2 linked regions of the Coturnix japonica genome follow. The protein of the gene in region 1 binds, or shares a complex with, the protein of each later gene. Links are inferred from orthologs where the notes say so. Each region holds a gene or a part of one and is shown on either strand. Other genes may lie near its edges.

Region 1 (3,809 bases):
CCATCTGCAAATGTCTCTGCACCATCAGCTCCAGGTTCACACAAATGTCGCATGAACAGGGAGACATAAGCCCTGTGGAAAGAAAGCAAGAGCTGGCTCTAGCTTGGACCAAGAGCTCCCTGCTGAGCACCCGCAGTGCCTGTTTTCACCAGCGGCCAAGGGCAGAGTTTTGCCCTCCAGCACATGGCATCATGGAGCAGTTTGAGATGAACGCCTCACAGGCATCTTCATGCCTGATCACAGTACCTGAACTCTTTCTCACTCTTCCCTCGCAGATCCCTCACCAGCCAGTGAGAGTTGAAGGCATCCTGGGGCGGCATTCCCCACCGCATGATGGCGTTCAGGAAGGCTTTGCGCTGCCGGGCATTGAACCCCAGAACCTGCAGGGAGCAGAGGTTGGGAGGCCTCAGAAATGATGACATCTCAGAGCCTCACAGCTGCTACAGGTCCTGAGCCAGGACTGATGCTGAAGAGCAGCACAAACCGGACCAGACAGACAAGGGACATGCTTTGGCCAGTGCTGACACTCACTTCAATATTCCCCCCAACTCTTGCCAGCAAAGGAGGGAGAGGTTTGTCCCGGTCACTCTTCAGCTGCCTCCGTGATTGTCTTCTGCCACCTGCAGTCATACAACCTATGTAACAAACGTGCCCAGCCAACAGAGGGATGGCCAAAGACCTAATGCTGATCAACCCCTGTGCCCTAAGCTTCCCATAACCCTTCCCAATGGGAGTGGAACCTGCACACAGCGGCAGTCAGGGTTGTTCAGAGTGCCCTTTCACTCACGTGGCCTCCTCATGCCAGGGGAGGCACTGAAGACCAGATACTGCTACCACAAGGACAAGACCAAAGCCCTACATTAGCCAGCAAGTCATGCTCCCTGTGCTGAGAACTGCCTCACCCAGCAGGGCAAAGAATGCCTCCCCAGAAGCAAGGCAGTCTCTTCAGCTCAGACCTCCCTGCTGCATTTGAGTGCCAGCCCACCCCAAATCACAGGCTATCACTGAAGTTCCTGCAGAGGACATTGTAGATTATCAAGTCCATTAACTCACTCTGACCTTCTGGTCTTTCTTCAAAGTCTTCATCTTCATCCTCAGAGCCAATGGAGTACTCAGACTGGTTGTCAGAGAGCTCGTCCTGCCACTCTGCAGACCACAAGGAGACAAGGTCAGGAGAGAGAACCCTGCAAGCTTGCCTCAAGGGGACAACAGGAGCCCTGACACTGCCCCCAGCATCCAGTCCCAGGTAGCCAGAGAGAAAGACCCAGAAATAAACAGGAAACCAGACTCAACTTTTCCATTATTATTAGTTTCCTTCACAGAAAATAAAAAAACAAACCAGTTTTAAATACTTTGCCCACAGTCAGGTTTCTCCTCAATTCTTTCCCAGTTACAGGCCAAAAGGAAACAAAAATCACAGAGCCTGCTCCCAGACCTGAGCCAAGCAGTCAAAGCCATACCTTGGTCCTCCTGAGAGGCATCATTGTAATTGACCTGCTTGCGGATTCTCTTCCCCTTCCCCAAGTTCCTGGCCAGATCTTCCTGCTGCTGCTCATAGTGGTGCCGCAGCAGCTTCTCCCAGTAGTCAGGGTCCACATTCTCCTCTTGTTTGATGATCTCACGTTCCACCTCCTCCTGCAAAGAAAGGAAACCAAAAAGGCTTGAGACAAGAGAGCTGCAGACCTCCCTGCACCACACTGCTGTGCGTCTTCTACTGAGCTTTAGGGAAGAGGGATGGAAGGAGGGCACTGAGACACTTGCTGGTAAGCAAGATGTTCAGACATGCTTTGACCACCCAGTGGTGTGCCTCCTTCACCCTGCTCTACATGCATGTACACAGAGTCTCACTTTCACCCAAATGCACTGACCTCAGTGCACGGTTATCAAAGGGCTGAGACAACCTCCCAGTCAGCCACCTATACCTAGAAATAGCTCCTGAGAACACTGCCATCCGGCCTGTGCTCACATCCAGGGAACAATCACAGATCCACAGAGATTGCCCTGAATAGCAGCCCACTATCAGCTTGAGAGACAGCTGAAGGAAGTCTGTTAGCTACAGGGAGAATAAATGACAGCAGCACAATGCATGAGCAGCACCGTGCCCTGCTCCCAGTATTCAGAATAGCAGCCTTCAGAAGAACAGAACCAAGTACCAGAAGAGCGATAGGTCACAATAGGTCAGAACCACATTTAGCCATTGCAGTCCTGCTGGCTGCACCATCACTGCTACCATCAGCAATGAGCAGGGAGGAGTACTGCCCTGCAGAGAAACCCCCACAGGAACAAAAAAGGCAGAGGAAGAAGCACAAACAGGGACATACAAACAGATGTGATTATAAGACATGATACTGATCACATTACCACACCATCCTCTTCTCTCACAACATACTGGGCCACTTTAAAGGAGCTGAGATACTCGTTCATGTTCTGCAGCTCCGTGTCATCGGTCGCATCCTGGTTTCGGTCCAGAAGCTTAGAGATAGCAGCATCGTCATAGTGGATCACACTGCTGTCATCCACATCCTTATTGTCACCTGGAGGGCAAAGCAAGGGGAACAGAAAGCAAATCACACTGTGTGCTCCCAGAGCCAGGCAAGATCAGGCTGGACACAGGGCAAAGTCATCCCAGTAACAGGGGCTACAGACCTGGTGGGGTGCCACCATGCTTTTTTTTCATGCCAGGAGTCACTGCACCCCCTTTGGTGGACAGCGTGTCAGAGAAAGGGGTGACGGCATCCGGCATGGTGAGCCGCTGTCCCTGAGACACCATGCCTGCAAGTGGAAGGCACAGGAATGAGCCCCTGCAGCTCCAGCAGGGCTTGGCTTTGCTCTGAGCATCTCCAGCTCCCTCCTGACCCAACCTTCCACATCATCCTTGAAGAGCTCTTCTGTCCCAAACTTCAGGATGTCATCCAGCTCTTGCTTGGTCATGGAGCCTGACTTTGAGCCAAGCCCAGGACGGACCACCAGGTGGGTGAGCATCATCTTCCTTTTGGCCACCTGGGTGATGCGCTCTTCCACGGAGGCTCTTGTCACAAAGCGGTATATCATTACTTTCTTGTTCTGCCCGATGCGGTGTGCTCTGCTGAATGCCTGCAGGCAGAGAACATCACTGCAGAACAGCCAATGTTGGCACATCTGCAGCCAGCCCAGTCTTGGACCCCCTCAGCCAGAAGCTGATCTCAGGCTGCTATGGGGCAGTGGAGCAAAAGGGGCTCCTTAGAGCCAACCTGTAGGCTTTACACTCCTCCTTCCCCCTCCTCTGACTACAGAGCAGGCCACCTTCCTCGTGCATGGCCCCTAATTGAAAGGCTTGAAGGCAGTGCAGAAAAGCTCCTCCTAGGAATCCTCTGGCTGCAGATCAGTCCTTAGATAGGATCTACCACAGCTTTTGGAAATGCAAGTGGAAAGTCCCCAGAACAGGAAGGGACACTAGGTTGCAGACAAACAGCAGGAGAAGGGCAGAAGCTCATGGAAGAAAGCCAGTTTTAGTGGCCAGTCCACCCCTGCATTGCTGACAGGCCAAGGTAAGGCCAATAGAGGTGTGCAAACAGCTCCTGAACAGAACTATGTCCTGCAAACTGCAGGAACCATCAGCAGCTCTCAAGAGGAGAGAGCTCATTTCACTGGCAGAATGCACAGGGGGCCCATCCAGAAAGGTACTTACTGTACTGGAAGGAAAAGAAAAAGTAATAAACCTGGATGTCATTGTGGGGATTCCAGTCAGAATCATAAATAATGACTGTGTCAGCCGTAGCAAGGTTTATGCCCAGACCACCAGCGCGGGTAGAGAGGAGAAAGCAGAACTG
Region 2 (2,612 bases), on another chromosome or scaffold:
TGCACTCCCCCAGACTCCATAAGAGACGCCTCCATCCCCCAGACCATCCTCAACCCCCCAAGCTCCACATTGACCCCCATATCCCTCAGCCTCGAACCCGCTGACCTCCACCCTAAGCCCCACATTCCTGCACCCCCCCACGGCTCCACACGATCCCGGGCCCCACACGACCCCCCCCCCCGGGCCGCAGCCCAGGCCCCATCCGCACCTGGATCATGTAGAGCTGCGCTACCTGGTACTCCTCCAGGCTCATGGGCAGCAGGATGTGGTACTCCTTGATCAGCATGGCGCCGTGTTTAGGGGAAGGGGCGAGGGGTGGGGGGGGCTCCGCGGCCCTCCGCCGTTAACCCGGCCCCGGCCCGGCCCGCTTCGGCCGGGCCCTCCCCACTGCCATAGCAACGCGCCCCCCGCCCGCTCGGCCGCGCTCTCGGCTCCCTTCGGCTGTTTCCGTCACCCTTCGGCTCCTTTCGGTTCCCTTCGGCTGCGCTCGGCCCCTTCCGAACCTGCGCCGCTCTGAGCCGGCCCCGCGCTGTGTGACGTCACGGCGTGGGGGGCGCCCGCTGACGTCAGGAGGTGGAACAGCGTGGGGGGGGGCGTGACGTCAGAGGGGACGTCAGAAGCGGGGGGGCGGCGGACCGGGAAATTAAAACGGAGCGGTATATATGGGGAATTGGGGGCTTGGAAGGAGGATTTCCTTTATAAGGGGGGGGATGCAGCACGTCCTTTATTTATAAAAGCCGGAAGGTTGGGGCGGGGGGAGCCCCGGGGGTGGCCCCGTTCGGGGGGAGCCACCGGCGGGGCTCGGGGGGGGGGGGGGGGTCGGGGGGCTGCTGTCACGTGCGGGCGTTGCGCTCTGTCTCGGCCAAGCACTCCCGAACCAGCGCCCGAGCGTGGATGATCCCTGAATGGGGGGGATATGAGTGAGCACTGAGCTCCGGGCTTAAGGGGGGGGGAGGGTCACAGAGGGTCGCCCCCCGGGCTCGTTACCCCGCTTGAGCCGCTCCATGGCGCTCTTGCTGCCGGCGTAGGTGGGCCGGATCTCCCTGCCCATCTCCTCGATGACAGACAGCAGGTCGCTGTAGGTGCTCTGCGAGCCCGGAGCGCCGGGCGGCTTCATGGTCTGACAGGGGATGGAAGGCGAGGAGGACGGAGGGGGGGGGGCTCAGCGTCGCCCCACGCCGCCCTCCCGCCGCGTGCCCCTGCCCCGCGGGCTCACCTGCACGTAGCCCATGGACGGCGGCCCGAAGTCGTTGAAGAGCGGGCGGAAGGCGGACGGCGAAGGGACGCTGGGAGCTGCGGGGAGCGACCCCGGGTCCGGCCCTTCCTTCGCACTGGGGCCGGGCCCGTCACCCCTCAGCCCGGCCCCGCTCGGGCCCAGCTCCGTCCGCTCCCTCCCTCAGCCCCGACTCCCCTCCGCACTCTCCGTCCCTCTCCCTTAGGCCCCGCCGCCCCTCAGGCCTCGTGCCCCTCCTTACGCCCTCTTCTCCCCCCACCCCCGCTCTATCCCCGGGGCTCCTCTCACCGGCGGCCGTGGCTGCGGGCCCCGGGGCGGGGCTGGCGCTGGGTGCGGGCGCGATGGGTTTGTAGGACATCCCGCAGCGCTCCGGGCCGAGCGGCGCCCGCCGTGTGCAGGAGACGGAAGCGAGCGGGGCGACCCCCCCCCACAACCTCCCGCTGATTGGTCAGACGGAGCGACCCGGCGGCGCCGATTGGTCGACGGCACGAAGGGAGCCGGCCTGCGCTGTCGGGGGAGCGCGGTGATGACGTCACGAGGCGCACGCCGCCGATACGCAAACATGGCGCGCCGGGCTCCCATCACCATGGAGACCAGCGGCGTCCTGCACCCCCCCATCACCCCCACCCCCACAGCGAGGGCCAGAGGCCTCCCCCGGCACTCAACGGACGGGCACACGGCACCCGGCGGCACACAGCTTCATTGCGAACCGGCAGCGCTGCCAACACACCGACACGGGGCTCCAACACCGGAGCTCCCCCCCCACACACACCATGAGGGGCAGCGCAGGCCCGGGAAGGCCGCCTCCTCCTCCTCCTCCTCCTCCTCCCGGTAAGGCACGGCGGCGAGTCCCGGCCCTTCAGCGCGACATCATCCGCACAAACTCTGCACAAAGAACCACAGCATTAACCCCAAATAAAGCCGGCAATAAGCCCCAAATACAGCTGGCAATAGGGAGGCCCCCCCATCCATGGCTCCATTGTCCCCCAGTTAAAGCTGGGATCAATAGGGCCCCCCCCCCCTCCTTCACCCTGCCCCCATTTACCTTCAAAGTCCACCAGGCCGTCCCCATTGAGATCCACGTCCTTGAGGATCTCGTCCACCTCGCGGTAGTTGAGCTGCTGGCCCAGCAGCTTCCTCATGGCCTCCCGCAGCTCCGCCATGCTGATCTGCCCGTCCCCATTGGTGTCGAACTGCCCCATAGGAGACCCAGCATCACCACTGTGCTCCCAGCACTGCACCCCCTCCCCTCCCCCAATCCCGGCCCTGCTGCCCCCAGCCCTCACCTCACGGAAGGCATCGCGCAGCTCCTTGATCCCAATCATATCCGCTGTCTCCGCCAGCATCTTGGGGCCCATCAGCTCCACAAAGTCATCAA

What was found.
Region 2: CHD5 (region 1) and CDK2AP2 share a complex: the UniProt entries of both Homo sapiens proteins name them as parts of the nucleosome remodeling and deacetylase (NuRD) repressor complex. The link is inferred for Coturnix japonica from reciprocal best matches to the Homo sapiens genes CHD5 and CDK2AP2.

Annotation. Positions count from the first base shown.
Region 1 is NC_029536.1:533,059-536,867, reverse strand, and holds part of CHD5 (chromodomain-helicase-DNA-binding protein 5), read right to left. Parts: coding exon 3,699-3,809; intron 3,094-3,698; coding exon 2,862-3,093; intron 2,773-2,861; coding exon 2,647-2,772; intron 2,535-2,646; coding exon 2,362-2,534; intron 1,636-2,361; coding exon 1,461-1,635; intron 1,147-1,460; coding exon 1,060-1,146; intron 621-1,059; coding exon 532-620; intron 381-531; coding exon 247-380; intron 73-246; coding exon 1-72. UniProt on the Homo sapiens protein: ATP-dependent chromatin-remodeling factor that binds DNA through histones and regulates gene transcription. May specifically recognize and bind trimethylated 'Lys-27' (H3K27me3) and non-methylated 'Lys-4' of histone H3.
Region 2 is NC_029520.1:566,880-569,491, reverse strand, and holds CDK2AP2 (cyclin-dependent kinase 2-associated protein 2), read right to left. Parts: upstream 1,721-2,612; 5' UTR 1,593-1,720; coding exon 1,523-1,592; intron 1,332-1,522; exon of another isoform or gene 1,294-1,331; coding exon 1,217-1,293; intron 1,121-1,216; coding exon 988-1,120; intron 902-987; coding exon 834-901; 3' UTR 662-833; downstream 1-661. Other genes in the region: PITPNM1 (membrane-associated phosphatidylinositol transfer protein 1), read right to left, coding at 209-286; CABP2 (calcium-binding protein 2), read right to left, coding at 2,094-2,119, 2,280-2,427, 2,521-2,612. UniProt on the Homo sapiens protein: Acts as a component of the histone deacetylase NuRD complex which participates in the remodeling of chromatin.